Linked DNA regions of Drosophila melanogaster. The protein of the gene in region 3 interacts with the protein of the main gene of each other region in a pairwise test. Each region holds a gene or a part of one and is shown on either strand. Other genes may lie near its edges.

Region 1 (5,139 bases), about 10 Mb from region 3:
ACTGTAATGTCTTATTCAGCTCAATGCTCATAAACAAAATAAATATTTTTGGAAAAAATACTGTAGTTCTTCTTATTTAGCCAAGACGTCCAAACCTTTTTTTAATAAATTTAATTGAGATGAAGATTTGCATTCGAATTCTATAGAAGCATCAAACAAATATTACAACAGTATCGAGTGGGTTATTAAAAATTAAATATGTAAAAATCGCTCATTGTGTTAAAATATTAATTATAATAGATTAGCTCAAACATCTTAAATCGACATTTTGTGCAACACATAAAAATTCTCGCAGACAATTGGCAGCTGATTACGATTAAACAAAACCGAAATTAGCCGTTTTCCTTTAAAGCAATCAGCATTCGTGATCTCTTGTTTGGTTACCTCACAATGCTAGTTAGTTATAGCGCCATAAAACCCCATTTTCAATGTCAGGGAAATCATAAGGTCATAAGGTTATCCCCACGATCGTTCTAATGTGATCACAGCCACAATCTATAATAACCAGTTCCCAATAGATAGACAAGATTAGAAAACGCAGCTTGGTAGAGTTTTTTATATTTTATAATTTAATTTATTCAGAGTGCTTTCTTGGGTATCGGGTCAGACAATTGAAACAGCATTAATATCATATTCGCATGTGTGGCCTGTGGGGGCAGCGGAGAGGAGATAACAAGGGGCTGGCCATCAAAGGTACAACATACGGACATACTTTCCAGCGAAAGCTAGACACACATAGGATTAAATATAGCACATAGTATAACAGAATATATATGGAATTGAATACTTTGAACTTGAGTGTAGCTTAGTTTCGTACGATAGAATGTTTGGCTTTTAAAGTTAGAAAGATGTGTTTATAAAAAAGTGTGTATAAGTGCTGTGTTAGAGAAATGCGTAAAGTGTTGTTTTGGAATGTACATGTGCAATGGCACACACGCAACATTAATGTATTCTTGCTGAGAAACAAGTATAAAGCATTTTCGCTATACTGAAACCGAAATTCGTTAGAAAGTAAAAGTATGTTGCTCCTGTGTCTGCCCACAATCGCTCCAACTAGTGAACTCTGTCCTTAAGGTAACCAATTGGACTAGCCCACTTAATGCTGCTTGGCCTTCAGGCTAGCTGGCATCTCTGGTGGTGGTGGGCGGGGAATGCCCAGGGCGACCTTCACACCATCGTAGATGAACCACTGCAGAGCGGTCAGGGTACCGATCATGATAATACGAGGAGTCAATCCGTTCCACATGCCACTGAAGCCCAGCGACTTGGCCACGCTGATGGCGCTAGCTCCCTTGGCCTGGTTCAGCTTGGACACCACCACATCAGCGGGATGCGACACCACGGCACAGAACACACCGGCGATGTAGCCAGCGGCGAAGGTCACGATCAGCTGCTCGCCCTTGGTGCAGTCGGCACGAGGCTTGGGCACCACATACCTGGGAAAAGTTGCATCATTAGTATTGATTTAACGGGGTTCGTTGGGGCTTGACAACCCGAACTGTGAACGGTATTGCTCTAGTTTTTACATTTGAACTTTCAGTGGCTACCTGCTAATTTGCACTTCAAAAGGAATGCTTTGCTTTTTTTATTTTATCCATAGTAACAAACTAGTTCTGAAATAATATGATTTTCCTATATTTGAACAAGATAAGCATTCGTCGTTGGTTTTTATTCTGGCGTGCCATTTATTAGATACGAATGGCATTCTTATCTGCTGACGCGCTAAAAGTTTATTTTATTATGAATACTTTCAGTTTTGATCAATTAGCATATCACTTTTGAAATTTCACAGATTAACAGTCTACCTTTAAACTATTGTAATAGCAAAACGCTAATACGAATACAGATATTGTGCACAGCACTGGTAAGTTTTTCCGCTGTAGAAACTAGAGGATACCTAAAGAGGAAATGTTACTTACTTGTAGAGCAGCTCCACGGTGCGCTCGAAGCAAGCGAACTTCATCATGGTGTATGGGATCTGTCGCATCCACAGGGGAACCAGACCCTTGTAGAAGGCATTGACGCCCTCCTCCTTTAGCATCTTGGGCACTGCCTCGCGGAAGTTGTTGGCGTATCCGGGAATAGTCTGGATCTTCACCTTGGCGGCCTCGAACGGCGCCAGAGCGATATCGGCGAAGAACTCGGCCGAAGCGGAAGCAGCCAGATACAAGGAGGTGCGGTACAGGTAGGCGTTCTCCTCGCCAATGATTTCGGCGTACTTCACCTTGAACAACTCGTACAGACCGAACTTGCACAGACCCTGAAAGATACAGAAACGCGGATTAGCCTGCTGTTTCTCAGAAGTTATTTTTCAGTTTGCAGTAGTATCCAAGATTTTATCTTCGGTATCTGTTTCTCCCGTAACCATAAAGTTGTCAAAGGTGTGTTGTTATTCTGAGGTATACTAAGATATCAGCCTAGGAATCAAACTTCCTAATGTTCGATTCGAATCACTTTTATCTGCTTCAAGCCCGGAACCGATGTAATTAAGGTCAGCCGACCTGGTCACGAGCATATAATTCGCCTCCAGACGATTATGCAACCCATAAAGTGAAGCCCAATCTCACCTGTGCCGAGTAGCCGAGCAGAGTGGGGAACCAGCCCTTAGCCAGTCCGCGGGCGCCCTCCTCCGCCACGGTGACCTTGAATCCGTGCACCAGATTCTTGTACTTGGCCTGGTCGACCTGCAGACGGCACTTCACCAGATCCAGTGGGACCACGAAGGTGTGGGTGGTGCCGCAGCTGAGAATGCCACCAATTCCGCACAGAGCGAAGTACTTGGTGCTGCCGAATTCGCACGAATCCTGCTGGTTGGCCACCGGGGTAGCGGCGGCGGCGATCTGGCGACCCTCAACCGGCTGGGGTTCCACCACTGGGGCGGCGGCATCGCATCTTGCCATCGACATGGGGGTGCGGAATGGCGAGTTCCGGGCAGTTTCAAAGAAGCTGGAGAACATCTTGATTCTGTTCTTGTTCTGGGGTCGGCTGAAAGTAGAGAGACCATCCATTAGTTACGTATATATGTACCTCGGAGGCGACATGTGCTTTATCTAATTATATATATAGCTGGGTAATCAGCTGCTTTTCGCTTTTGTAGGTTACATAACGGCGTGCCTCGAATTCCGAGCACCCGGACTTACGACACCAAATTTACCCGAAAAGCGAAGGATTTTAAGCAACCACGTAAATTTAGTGTATGTTAAGGGAGCGATAGAGCACCGCTCGGCTACTTTGATTTCGATTTTACAAAACTTATGCAATTTTCGCTCGGAATTTTCGCACTTACTATTCGTCAGCAACGTTAGCGGCTCGTTGGCGAGGATTCAAAGAATGAGGGGGGGCTCACGGAGGTGCAGCGATTTCTCACGAATACCAAAACGCCTTAATGGTTTTGCCGTGGAGAGGTGTAACTAGCGGATTGAGGATAGTTGGCCACACTCATGTCAAAATCTTCGGCTATGGACTGCAACCTTGGTGCAAAACTTTGGTGGCGCCTGAGCGTGGACTCGAACCATCTGCATACGAGGTATCAGGTGAGATTATTTTAATGCCATTGCCTTCGTTGTGAATAAAATATTAATTATTAATATTAATTTCATATTGATAACATTAGTTGTAAATATTTTGAAAAAATAATAAATTCATTTGTAAAATCCTCATATTTTTGCATAGTATTTGTGATTTGTTTTCTATTTTTACACAATAAAACAAATTTTAATCTAAAGCTTTATTGTATTTAGAACTCTCTGTAAAATATATAACAATTTTCAATTATATGTACATTTTAAATTTATAAGTTATAGCCCCATGGTAAAACTGGATAATTTTATGAGTAAATATGTGAAAATAAAGTTCTGCCATGATTTCACATGGGGTTGGCCCAATCCTTCACTTTTTACGCACGGACAGGAAATTAGGCCTTTGTATTCCATTTTATATTTCACTCTGCAAGTGAAGCAAAATTCACCCTGGTGATCTTCAGTTAATAAGATTTGACAACCGATTTCTGGTGACCAAACGCAGCAGACTTTGGCATTCATAGTATCTGTAAAATTAAAAAATTAGTCTTTTATTACTATTCAAATGCTTCTTATACCGATATGCAGTCCGGGTGGAACGCAAACACCCTCTTTATTGGTTGTTTTTGGGAATTCACCTTGTAGACGACCCAATCGCCTATAAAAGTTTCCTTCATAACAACTGAATCCTGTCTCTTTAATCCGACACATTTCCGTATTTTCCTTCCTACAATCTAAGCATCTCCCATTTTCTATTATAGATACGTTTTTTTCGGCACAGGTGATCAACAGTCTCCCACTGAGTATAATAAGAAAATATATACAATTAAAAGACATTTAAAATAAGAAAAATAATTCAATGAGACCGCGTTGATAAAGTTTATGTATGTATTTCCAAAGGCCACTATGTACGACTATTGTTACAAAACGAACAAAAGTGACTGATAATATACACTTGGATATTTATATTATGTAGGTTATTATTAAGTTCAAGGATTATTTAAGCCTTTCCGCCTTTTTTGTGGTTCTTACCAAAAGAACTTCAACGGACTCTTTCGCTAAGCTTTGAGTCTGTCTTTCGATTGTCTTTGTGCTTCTTTCTTTTTGTTTGCCGCCGTCTTTGCTTTTGCTTGTGCTTTTGTATTTGCTGTGTTTGCTCGCTCGTGGATTTCTGTGGAGTGAAGTTCGGTCGTCAGTTTGAGTTTGGTTCGTAGCGCGTTCGCACACGCGCGCTGTAGTAGTCCGATATATAGTTGATTCCCATTCGATCCGAGATCCGATCCGATATGATCGTTGTTGTGCCCCTCGCCGCCTCTCGCTCGCTCTAATCAGTTGGCCAACGTTTTAGGTCTGCGTACTTCGCGGCTAATTTCCAACTTAAGAAGTGAAAAACAACAAAATCTGGCAAATAATTGAGTAATTAAAGTTAAACGTAAGGAGAGCTGCTCTGCCAAGTGTTTTGTGTTAGTGCTTTTGTGTAACGGTCTGCTAACTGGAGCTGGATCTGAAATAGAGATTACGGCAAAGTGTTTTAGTAAATTGAATGTGGATAAGTTTTGAAAGCTTGAGAGTGGATGCGATAAACTGATCGATTTGGGTTTAGTCTGAGAAGAGGAAGCTT
Region 2 (4,647 bases), on a different chromosome or scaffold from region 3:
ACATATTATTAATAAAATGATTATTTCATAGTCTTAAGAAGTAACTTTAAAAGGGATTTCCCAAGCCTGACTTTTTGATCCATTAGTTTTACGGCACTTAATTTGCATAAATGCCAGAAGATTACTTTCCGCCCTTACTTTTTTATGGCGACCAAATGGTCCCACCCTCATGTATAGCAGTACTCCAGATATGAGGCCGGAAATGCTTTGCTCCGAAAGTGGCAAACTTCTGGGCAAAGTTACAATGCCCTAAAGCAAGGGTGCAAGTGAGCAAGCCGAGTCCCCCTTCTTGTTTTTAATTTTTTTTAGTTGTACGCTCTGTTTCGCCTATTGTAACTCGAAAAGGTTGCCTTTTCTGTGTGGATGCAACTACTTCCCTGAGACACTTGCTGCAACAATTACAGTCTGTCACACGCTTTCTTTTTACTTGGAAGTCTAATTTACTTTTGAAGCAGCGTGTATTTCGGGTGTTAAATGCAGTGTTAAGGCAGACTAGAAAATTAAGCAGGGACTCAAGTCAGTTACTTAAAAACGCGTATTCAACTACTACTTCACCTACTATATAAGATAAAAGCAATTACAATAGACGAACTATGTTACTATTTTCCACTCAAATCAATTCTATTTTTTGAGTATAAGTTATGTGGCTTAATGGGCTACCATAAACCTTAACATATTAAAAAAATATATATATATTTCTCCTGGTGTAATGCTAATACCCCTTCTGGTGACTGAACCCCCGCCTTTGAATTCATTACACATGTTGTTCTTGTTATTTCAGCCGCGCACCTTTGTTGGCTTCTGAGTTTTTTACACATTAATGTGTTTTTGTTTTCTATGTACTTTGTATGTGAGTTGGCCTGTGAAGGTGTAAAAAGGCAAAACTAAATATAAAACTGTTATGCGCAGTGGACGTCAACGGCCGGCGTTTTTTCTACCATTTGCCTTTTGCTGGGGAGAGCCAATTCAGCAGACCTGGGCTTAATTTATGTGGCTTTTCATTTTTACATAACGAACTCCGCCATGCATACGAAATGTGGCCAAGTGGAGCTTAGCGGTCGGCTGGACCTGAACTGCCGCCAGGGATTTTAGGCAGCATCATCGATTTTCCGCAGTCCAACAACAAGTGAGATGGCTAAAGGTCAAGGACGATGCTGCCGGAACGAAGGCTACGCTACCTGTGCCCAAATGCGGGTGCGTCCCTCTTGCGCAGGCTCCTTTTTCCCGCCCGATCTGCCCCGCCTCCTCGCACACTCCACCAAGGCTTTTCCTTTCAAGGCCAACGAATTGGGGCGGCGTCTTGTGGGTGGTGGCACAATTACAGCCGAACTTTGATAAGTTGCCACTATTAGGTGGCAAGGTAAATTTATTGACTTCGCCAAAGCCAAGTCAGGCATAATAAAAAATTGATTTTATCATTGCAATAAGGTATCCGACCATGAGAAGAAATTAAGGCATCACAGAAATATATGAAACATATTCAAAAGGCTGAAAAAATTATTTAAACGCATAAATGTCTGCTAAAAATAGTTTGTTTTTTGCTCACACAAAAGTTATTTTAATTTTGGCAGTTTCCCTGGCTACAGAAAAAATGCGACTGATTACTGTATAAAATGTAGGCAGTTAAGAAATACTTTTCCAACGAAATGATATATTAGACTAATAAAAGCCCCTGAATGTGTTCAAATTTTACATGTTGCGCGTACGGATACCTAAACAAACATACTTTTGACAAATATTCGAAGTGTAACTCTTCGCATTAATTTAATCGGTTGCAAAGATAGAAAAGGATTACTAATGTTCATGGCAGGCAATCCCTACTGTACCCAAGGGTGAGCGGGGGGAGGGGGGGCGACGTTTGGTGGGTGGTGCTGGGGGCTTAATTGACTACGGACAAGTGTTTCGGTTATTTGCACCAACTGTTTCTGCTGCTACTGCTTTTCTTCGTGCTCTTACTCTACCACCTCCTTTCACCTCCTCATCCTCCACGTTCTCGTTATTCGCTTCTTCTTCTTCTTCTGACTCACCTGAGAGAGTTCCGAATCATCGCGCAATTTGTCCGCCAAATCGGCGGCGGCGGCTGCGTTCGCGGCGCAGAGCAGCGCCAAAAGCAGCGCTGCAGCGTTCAGCATTTTAGCGGACGAGCAGCAGCAGCAACAACAACCACAACAGCACTTGTTTATGCGCTGGCAGTGTACGTCGTTTGTGAGTGTGGCTGTGTGTGCTGTTTTGCGGGGGGCGTGTGCTGGTGTGAGTGCTGCTCTACGATTAAGATCTGCAATTCAAAGGCAAACAACAGTTAGCCGACGACAAACAGCATTTCCTCGGAAAAGAAAATATTATTTCACAGATATATGCTTGGCATGCTTTTTGTCCTCCTTGGTATTTTCTTTGTTTTTGCAAGGTTATCGCTGCTTCCTGTTCGCTTTTGCCCAGAGTTCCGTTATGTCACATAGAACAACAAGCGAAAAACGGACCACCGAGGAATCGGCAAGCACAACACAAACGCAATTTAACTAGAAACAAAGCTGCGCTTATTGTGTATTATTTTTTCTTCATTCCGTCGCTGTGTGTTTAATTATTATGCGCCTTTGCATTTCGCTGCTGCGGCACTTTTTTCTGTTTTCGATTTTATAGTTTTCTCTCTGGTCTTTATTCTGCGTAATTCTCGGAAACTCGGGCTGCAGGAATTAACATTAACGGCCGCCGCAGAAATTATGCAATGTCCACGGACCAAACTTGGAAAACACACAAATTCTTTAAGTAGCACACACAAACGAACGCAGCGCGGTGGTAAATCAATAGCAAGGGCAGCGAAATGGGCCGTGCAGCTATTTTAGAGTTATGCCCTATGCACAGTATAGATTTTCCACAGAGTTTCAATATAAGGGGAGCAAGTACCAGTCGGAGGAATCGCAACGTGCGCCACGCTCGAACGTTTTTTTCGAATTAAAACGAAAAGCGGAGAACAGGTTTAAGCCGAGCGTGTGGTGACGATAACGAGTGTTATCGATAGCTGTCGATGTTTCAAATCGCAACACTGTGCACTGTTAATAAATCGCTTAACATTTATATTTATTTGTGCATGTCTTTGGCGGTGACTCTTATTTATGTGCTTTTTATGCTTTTCCGAATCTTGTTAGAGGTAAAATATTAGTACAAATCGAGCGCTGCGTTGCTCTTCTGTGTCAGATTTATAATAATGTCTGTTTATCCAATCTTATTATTATTACAAGAAGACTGCTTTAAATTTTCTCATTTTTCGTTTAAAAGCATAAATAATCATTTTAACCGTTTCGCAAAATGTGGCAACGACAGAATGCGGTGGATAACTCCGCTAAGCAGAGTCTCTACTGTTTGAAAGATTTTATTCCAAATTGAACCGGTTATAATTTTCAAGCACTTATTTTTTTACTTTTCTAAGGAGATAACATTGAATTTTAACAAGCAGTGTACCTATTTGGTTCTTCTTACTTTAAGTAAATGGTAAAAGTCTTCGATAAACCACGCCGTTACTAAGCAACTTGCCACCAGCAACGCTTGTTTGCTATTGAAATCAAATTAATATCATTATCAGTTTTGACAATACCATTGCAAAGACCGAATTCAGAAAGCCAATAACGATGACTGACCAAAGCGAGCTGGATCAGTTGGCAACTGCCGAGCTGCAGAGGCTGCAACGCCAGCATCGGGGTCTCCAGCTGGACCTTCGGGGTCTCCTCGAGGAGAAGGCCAAGCGCCTGAAGAAGCAGAATCACATGATCAACGTACTGCAAGTGGAGCACCAGAAGCTGAAGGAGGAGATCAAGACTCTAGAAGGTGGTACTCATGCGCGAAAGAACACCAATGTAGATATCCACTTAATGGACTAGTCAGCCACATATAAAAGGTTTACATCGGTTTCAGAGAGAGAAGCACCTGGGCACTTTGCAGGAACAGCAGGCGGATTTGCAGAGGGTGCTCCAGAATGAGCGAACCAATCTCTGGGAACTGGAGGGCCACATCCGGAAAATGGAAAAGGAGATTGATGCCCTGCGGCGCAACGAAGTGCCCGACAACTGCTACAAGGACACCATCTGCAAGGTGCAGAAGAGCGTGGTCAAGTTGGAGAACCGCCTGGATGTCGTCAACAAAAAATGCAGCGATGTGCTCACTGAAAACAGCAAGATGAGGGACGCCATAAACCACATGTTGCAGGATCGGTGAGCATTTCTCGCTAGATATATACAATCTATAAAATACACACTAGGTTTATGAAAAGTCAACTAGGTGCTCTCCATATTATTAGGTTTTTATACCGAATTGAGCTAATGCGTTTCGACTCCACTCCAGGGCAAACTTCAATGACATGTGGCAGTCGATGGTAACCCAGTTTAACGAGGGCAAGAAGTTCATCATGGATCTCATAGACCAGTCGACACTGGCTTTCGACCAGAGAGAAGAGCTGTGCAACAAGCTGACCGTCCTAAAGGATCGCAACGAGAACGACAAGGTAATGCACATCCAGGAGATGCGCGAGATGCAGCGCCGCCTGGAGCACGACGCCAAGTTGCAGAAGTTCTTCGACATCAAGGGACAAAAGCGCCTCAATCCGGAGCTGGAGCAGCGCGAGCTGGACAAGAAGCAGAGTCAGAAGGAGACCTACGA
Region 3 (3,832 bases):
TCACTGCGCACCGTCTTCTACACCGCCGATCCCATCAACGGTTTCAATGCGGTGGTGCAGCGAGGACCAGTTCCGGTGGCTGCTCGCCCATTGGTGGCTCCAGTGGCTGCTCCAATCTTGGGCTAACTCCACAATCTTTCAGAGCCTTTAACACTGCTTGTAACCTAGCTTTTACATAACTTATTGTCTGCTCCTTAGTCCGTTGTAAAGTCAGTAATCATTAAACAATAAACTCAATAAGCCAAAGAAATACATGAAATCCTTCAATCATATTCAAGGAAAATCCGCAAGTATTCGCTTCTCAAGGCGTTGATTAACTAAAATTAATCAAAAGCTCTACTAAAATTCCGAAACGAGTTTAAATTTACACCTATACATTTTTATTAATTAGTCAGTTGATTAGACAAGCTCAAGGCCCAAAATGCATACTTGCCTAGTTAATGATAATGAACTAAATTAAAAACACACTTAAAAGTAGTGCAAAATAACAAGATATTCAATGGACATTTTTTCAAGATCAAAATTTGCGTGTTAATTATGATGCAAATATCGTCGTTTTGAACTTGAAACTTAGCAGTGTGTTAACTTTTTCAATTACATCATAATTGCGGGTGTCAAGAAATGGAAATGGTTATGTGCTTAATGGAACTAATTACTTGGTGAACATTTTCGTGACTCCATGCCATGTAAAAGTGGTTTTGTAATTTTAAATGTAACAAAATGTAACCAGGAAAAGCCCAATTCGCCAAAGAAAGCTGACCCATTCCACTTACATAAGACCGCAATCTTAGATGGTTATCTCCCCTCCAGCTGTCCCACGCCCAAAGAACTCTTCCACTCCAAATGAATACATTCACTCTCGCTGGCCCAACACGCACTCAAATTATTCAATAGCTTAATTGAAAGTAAAAAATCGGCACGAGATGCAATTTTTGGATTACGCAAACCCCAACCCGAGCATGTCCATAGATGTTGCTGCCGGCGCCGACTGCAACTGCAGCAGTTACTGCAACTGCAACTGCAGCAACGCCTAACAAGCGGCGGTACGCGTTGAAAATTAGTGATAATGGCCAAAATTGTCCCAATGGCAACAGAGCAGCGAAACAGAACCAAATCTATACACTCAAAAAAATACTGCATGACATTCGAAAATCTATAGGATTGAACAGAATATTCTACAATTGATATCCTTTTGTATTGTATATGTTATCCAAGTACTTTTTTCGTAGAGATTTTAATATCACATATCACATTCATTGCGGTTAGAACTTTTTCGTTTTCTCGCAGTGCATTGAATGCGTCTGGCGTAGATTTTTTGGGTGGGCGCGGCTTAGAGCAGCCAGCCAGTTTCGAAGGCTGTGCCCCAAACACACCTTTCAACAATCGACTGCTGGGTGCGTGTGCAGCGTCGCCCCAATCTGGTGGCCATAAAGTCGAGACATGGAGACATGGGAGGCACTGGTGCTCATGCGTCCACCACACCTGATCCGTCCGGCCACCCGGCTTAGGCCCAAATAATTCGCTTTCGAATTGAACTTTTTTGTCACGACAACAACGACGGCGATTCAGCCGGCGTGGGACCAGTTTGCTTTGGTCCAGCACAGTCCTCCCAGACTCCCAGACATGCGTGAACCGCCAAGCACCTCCAGCGCCTTCAGCTCGACCGGCAGCTCCTCCACCTCCGGACAGCCCCTTCTGATTGCCATGGGCAGCGAAAAATGAATTATTTTATATTTGTCGCGATCGATGCGAGCATTTCGCATAGGCACAGGCCGCTACAGACTCCACACGCATGCTCACTTTTTAGTTGTTTATTATTATTTTTTGTGTCTTGCTGCGCTTTTTGCATAAATATCTGGTGGCAGGCGGCGGCGGAGGCTGTGGCGGATTTTTGGGCTCGCGTCTATGTGAGGCCTATAAAAAGCAATTGTCGTGCGGCCACAGAACCACAGATCGAGTTCATTTGTCAGTCGAGCAGCAGTAGACCTCCAGTTCTCCACTACTCCATCGCAAACACCAAGCAATCCGTCCAGAATGGCACAGAAACTGATCCTCGTCCTGAGCGCCCTGGTGGCGGTGTCCTCCGCCGTTGTGGTCCCTGGTCCCGGACTGGCACTGCCCGCCTATCCATCGTACCCGGCGCTGGCCAAGGTGGCTGCTCCTCTGGTGGCCAAGGTGGCGGGTCCGGAGCCATACGATCCCAATCCCCAATACACCTTCAGCTACGATGTTCATGTGAGTCAGCTTCGTAAGAAGTTATTAGTCACCTCATAAAAAGCAATGCCAATTCAGAAATCTGCATTCGAATTTTATTGCTTTATTGAGCAACTGGTATGCAAATTTTGATTTTGCCAGACATTTTTATGAAGTGTTTATGGAAGCTTAGAACTATTAAATCCGACCACTTGGTTGAGCAAGTTGGATGTTGGATATAAAATATTTATAGTTTCCTTGAAATCCTTAGGATATAAGATGCAAAGGATTCGTTTCAAGGCATTTCTTTAAATATAAAGTACCTATTCCTATCCTTTGCTAATCCAACAACTTCCTTCTGCCCACCAGGATGGCTCCACTGGTGACGTGAAGAGCCAGCAGGAGACCCGCAGCGGAGATGTGGTGCAGGGCGCCTATTCACTGATTGAGGCCGACGGAACCCGCCGCATTGTGGAGTACACCGCCGATCCCGTGCACGGATTCAACGCAGTGGTGCGCCGCGAGGGAGCTGTGGTGAAGGCTGTGGCTCCGGTGGCCAAGGTTCTGGCCCCGGCTCCGCTGCTCCATGCCTCTCCTCTGGTGGCCAAGGTGCCCGCCTATGGTCCGGCTCTGGCGCCCGCTTACCCGGCTCTGGCCCACGGATACGGACCGGCTCTGGCTCCCGCCTATGGACCTGCTCTGCCCAAGCTGGCCCTGCCCGCCCTCTCGCCCCTGGGCTACCACTAAGTCAGATGGATGGATATACACCACTCGAATAATGCCGACCTCTTGCCGCAACCGAATAATGGACACATCGCGACCAACTTCTCCTGCCACCTGGGCTCCAGTTAGCCGGAGCTCATGGGCCGATCATAGTCGATAGTAGTTGTAGTATTAGTGGAAATGAAAGCGATTTATCGAAATATGTACATACGAATTCACGGACAGCGGATTCCGATTGCCCAGTCCTTGAGTTACGGATCCAATGTTCCCTCATCTACACTCACACATTCTCGAGACCTTTCATTTATGTTTCTTGTCTTCTTAATCTTAAGGCTGTTTGACCGCGATAAATACTCTATAATCCCCAACTCACAATCCCCGTTTCAATTCTTATTTAATCCGAGCCTGTGCACTCGAGTAGAACTCGCAGAATGAGAAACGAGATTGCAATAAACGAACCGAAGCTATGCAAATGGAAAGTTAATGGAGTATTCTTTTACGGGAAATGAAAATTTGGAAGAAAATTACTCTGATTCTTGAGTTTTAAAACGGAAGCTGATTTCTGTTTAAAGCTATTGCTTGAATATTATATCGAAATATATTACAACCATTGAACATTAGTAGGATTCAAAGACAATTACTATATTTGTAGCTAAATAATTGAAAATATCTTATGTTACATATTTTTTGAATATATAATTTTCAAATAAATCGGTTTCCTTCAAGAACTAAAGAGTTATATTTGAATAATATTATTCAACTAATAGGCAATAACTTGCTTGTGAATTTTTTACGCTTAATAAAAAGTAAAGCATACTAAAGCTATTTAATTCGATTTTAATTGCCAAGATTGCGTTTAATTCTAAATCATTGAATGATAATCGCTGTTATTAGAACCAAAGTGCCATTATTCAGT
Region 4 (3,821 bases), on a different chromosome or scaffold from region 3:
AGCAAAAATTAAATTAATGTTTATGAGCAAAGTTTGTTGAGCAGCATTCCATTAATATACATTGCAAAATTAAGTAAAATATATGTAAATGTACTAATTAAAGTATATCACCCCCGAGACGGAAAACCGAAAAGTATAATTTAGTTGTTTAATGATTGATAAATATTTAGACACCAGAGGATTCCTCGTAGCATCCTCCGGATGCAAAAATTGTCAGCTAGAAACAGAGGCACTCCCTGAAATGCCATAGAACATTTTCCACTCAATTTAAAACCAACGGCAGAACGTGGTGTTTCTCTGACGATAGCACCCTGAAAACTAAGCACAGCAAACGGAAAATAAATTAAACATTTTGTGTAAAGTTCGATGACAGACCGAAGACGACAGCATGAACACGTACGAGTATATACATAATAAATATATATGAGAACAATTTAACGAGATTAAAATCAACTAAAGTAATAAAGGGAAAGTGTATAACTATTAAAACTAACGAAACGCCAAGCTCTTTCATTTCGATTTTCGCATATTGCATTCAATTTATTCACAATAATTTTCGATACATAAATTACAGGATCTAACACTAAACGGATTTAATAAAACATATTTTTGGACAATACACAATGAATTAACAGTGGGGTTAATAAGCATGCGATTGTGCGCCAGTGGCACGCCAATTAATAATTTACAATATTGCAATTGACTAAAATCTGTAAATCTCATAGGTGTCCCCATATTTGCAGGGCAAATACCCTCGGACTCGAAGCGGGGATTGGGATTGGCTTCGCTTTGCTTACGGCTAGTAACACAATTTCAATGATTTTTCGTTGCCCTTACACCTCGGAACACTTTGCTAGACATTAATGTGCTTTTAGTGGCGGGTCACCACCGGGGACTACGTCGATTTGGTTCGGAACGCTCGTATTGGATGCTCTTGAAGCGGCTACTTGCCTCCAGATGCAGCTGCTGCTGTTTCGGTTCCGGATGTCCACGAGTGACAATGTCTTTCCAAATCATGGTCAAAAGTATGAAGATAGCACCCACAATCTTGTTCAGAAACTCGATTAGTTTAAACACTATTGGAGTGGCTGTATGTGTGAAACGACTCAGCTCAAACAGGAATCGCACAGCAAATACGCCTAGGAATCGTAGCGCTAGTGCGGCTCCACCCAAGGCAGAGAAAATTAGTAGACCCAGAAACCGAATGGTGCCCAAAATGTTCCTCTTGTTGACATCGTTGGTCATGAAGTCGTACACGGTTTGTTTGACTCCATCACCCCACTGTTGCAGCACAGCCAAAAAATCATTAAGGCCCAGCTGAATTTGCTCCGCCACTTCATCCGGCTTGGAGGAGGAGTTTTCCCCACCCGCTGTGATCGCCTTAACAGGGCTACTTCTATTAAGAATCAGTGATCTCCTCGGCGTCGCCATCAGCTCTGGCTCCACGGGCCTTATCATCTTCAGTTTGAACTGGACTTCATGGTCCCGGAAGCGAAGGGTCTTGATGCTAAACCAATACTCTCCAAAAGCCAGATCATTCATCTCTGTCCAGATGCAGGTTTCCAGTTGACCAGGATCTGCTTTGTGCTGGTAACTTCCGTAACTCCCATAGGTGATGCCCACCCACATATTGGGCACGAAGCGTTGATAAAACTTTTGTAATTGGCCGGCACTCGAGTGCAGCAGCTTCTCCAACTCTCGCTCACTGCGTTGAAGCACCACCACGTCCCGGTAGCCGGACACCTGCTCCACCAAGCAGCGTTCCATATAATAACCGCGGAAGAGACGAGACTTGTAAAGCTGCTTGGTTAGTGCTTGCATGGCCAGTTCCTCGGGCGGCATATGACGTCCGCTCGCCTGTGGCATCAACGCGCTGTTGTCCATGGCTAGCTGTGTATGAAATCCTTTATTACTGGTCAGCAAATGACCTGCAGCAACCTTACCGATTGATAGTGATTGGACTTTGTTGCAACCACTTTCGCCGCTTAGTCAGCACAGCGCTTTTGTTATTGTTTGACCAAGCAATTTGTGCCAGTCAATTAAGGGTGAAATAGCTGTCAGCTGTTGCTTATTTCTTATTTTTTTTACGACCATGCATAATGCACTTAAATTTTGGCTTAATTAACTTTAAAATTCAGACATTTCAACATAAACCAGGTAGACACAAATTAGGCAAGCAGCTGTTGAGTTCGATAGCCGATAACAATAAGGGTGACCATACCATATACAGTCGATTTGCGAAGTATACAATTTTCAGTGGACTATCGCTAATGTGACGAAAAAAATTATAAAAAACATTTTTGATACTCATTTTTCCCAGTTTTTCCACCCGGCCACGTTGGTTTCCACCCACATCAAGATTTCCTCCCAACAGCGTCTGCTCGAGTGCTTCAGGATGACTTTGGTGGGCCTAGCTGCCCGCAAATTAGCGCAAAAGAAGAGGTTAGTCGCGTTTAAGAAGTACCCCAGCCGGCTTTTTTGTTGTAACCTACGAATTCTGTAACAACAGATCCGCAAAGCAAGCAGCAGACTTTCCCAATGGCATCCGGTGCCAGAAGTGCCTGCAGATCGGACACTGGAGCTATGAGTGCAAGGAGAAGCGCAAATACGTCCACCGGAGCTCGCGTACCAAGCAGCTAAGCAAGCGTATGTCCCAAAAGGAGGCTGACGCACCCAAGAACCAGGTGGAGGAGCACTCGGAAGTGGCTTCCTCGGAAGGAAAGAAGGTCCGTCGAAAGCGGAAAACGAGCAAGAGCTCCTCGTCCTCCTCCAGCTCGTCGGACAGCTCAGACAGCAGCAGCGAATCGGGCTCCTCATCCGAATCAGACTCGAGCAGCTCCAGTTCGGATTCGGACGACGAGGAAGGCAGCTCGTCAGACTCCAGTGGAAGTGGCTCGGACAGCGACAGCAGCGAGGATCAAAAGCAGGGAGCTCCACAAAAAAAGAAAAAACGAGCCGGGAGTTCACCTGAATCTTCTGACGATCAAGAGTAATCAAGAGACCGATTTGTGGTCTGTAGTATGTAGCTTTACTAGTTTAGTTTTCCCACACTTACACCGAAAATGAACATACTTTTGGTACTGTATTGTTTATATTTTAATGCTCCCAACATGTACGTTTTTCTGGTAAAGTTCCAGCCTTAATAACAATTTTAATCCGAGTCGACTTCCTCCTCGAAACGCCTCATTTGGCTTACGAGATCCAGATCTATTTGCTGGCTGTTGACGAGATGGGACTCCATCACAGTTGTGATTGGGGACTGCTCCACCGACAGATCTATGTGGAGGGGATCCCTTCCAGGGGAGCACTGCGTTTTTGGGTTCTGCTGGCCCACCACCTGAGACTTGAGATGCAGCTCCTCTACCTGTGGAACACTGAATTGGGAAAACCGTCATTGAAGCAAGAGATTTGTAGATACCTTTAGTGAATTTAATGCCTCCTGAATGACGGGGAGCACTCGGTCGAGTTTCTTCTGGATAGCAAATAGTTCAGCCTGCTCTTTTTGAAGGACTCGATTTGTTTGCAGCATTTTGAAAACAAATAATAAACTTTAACCTTAGAAAGACCCCTTTTTAATGAAGGCCTTATATGGTATACTTCCAATGGACAAGGAAATAAATGAATTGAATTTAGATTACTTATAAAAACTAAATGATGTTAAAAACATGAAAGTATTTTAAAAGTCACTTGCTTTATGAGGAAATGTAATTAATTATTTAGTAAGTGAAAGCAATGGGTTAAGTATCAGCTATCGATAAGCCAGCTAAAGCAGCACTGTTGCAAAAGCAAAATTTCGATAACAATGGCGGTGAGGCAGGCAG

The links.
Region 1: the proteins of Cpr64Aa (region 3) and Mpcp2 interact in a two-hybrid assay, tested with the Drosophila melanogaster proteins (one large-scale study listed by BioGRID).
Region 2: the proteins of Cpr64Aa (region 3) and Fas1 interact in a two-hybrid assay, tested with the Drosophila melanogaster proteins (one large-scale study listed by BioGRID).
Region 4: the proteins of Cpr64Aa (region 3) and CG4287 interact in a two-hybrid assay, tested with the Drosophila melanogaster proteins (one large-scale study listed by BioGRID).

Annotation. Positions count from the first base shown.
Region 1 is NT_037436.4:14,535,850-14,540,988, reverse strand, and holds Mpcp2 (mitochondrial phosphate carrier protein 2), read right to left. Parts: upstream 3,339-5,139; 5' UTR 3,287-3,338; intron 3,264-3,286; exon of another isoform or gene 3,141-3,263; intron 2,986-3,140; 5' UTR 2,958-2,985; coding exon 2,568-2,957; intron 2,261-2,567; coding exon 1,920-2,260; intron 1,437-1,919; coding exon 1,097-1,436; 3' UTR 548-1,096; downstream 1-547. Other genes in the region: CG43246 (uncharacterized protein), read right to left, coding at 3,798-4,045, 4,097-4,355.
Region 2 is NT_033777.3:16,623,597-16,628,243, reverse strand, and holds the start of Fas1 (fasciclin 1), read right to left. Parts: upstream 3,007-4,647; 5' UTR 2,902-3,006; intron 2,276-2,901; 5' UTR 2,133-2,275; coding exon 2,028-2,132; intron 1-2,027. Other genes in the region: Ccdc114 (Coiled-coil domain containing protein 114), read left to right, coding at 3,624-3,848, 3,907-4,202, 4,333-4,647. UniProt on the Drosophila melanogaster protein: Neural cell adhesion molecule.
Region 3 is NT_037436.4:4,207,295-4,211,126, reverse strand, and holds Cpr64Aa (cuticular protein 64Aa), read left to right. Parts: upstream 1-1,948; 5' UTR 1,949-2,034; coding exon 2,035-2,235; intron 2,236-2,562; coding exon 2,563-2,940; 3' UTR 2,941-3,289; downstream 3,290-3,832. Other genes in the region: Cpr64Ab (cuticular protein 64Ab), read left to right, coding at 1-126.
Region 4 is NT_033777.3:15,961,656-15,965,476, forward strand, and holds CG4287 (uncharacterized protein), read right to left. Parts: upstream 2,213-3,821; 5' UTR 1,944-2,212; intron 1,891-1,943; 5' UTR 1,885-1,890; coding exon 883-1,884; 3' UTR 512-882; downstream 1-511. Other genes in the region: CG5516 (uncharacterized protein), read left to right, coding at 2,396-2,442, 2,510-2,993; CG32856 (uncharacterized protein), read right to left, coding at 3,152-3,364, 3,419-3,529.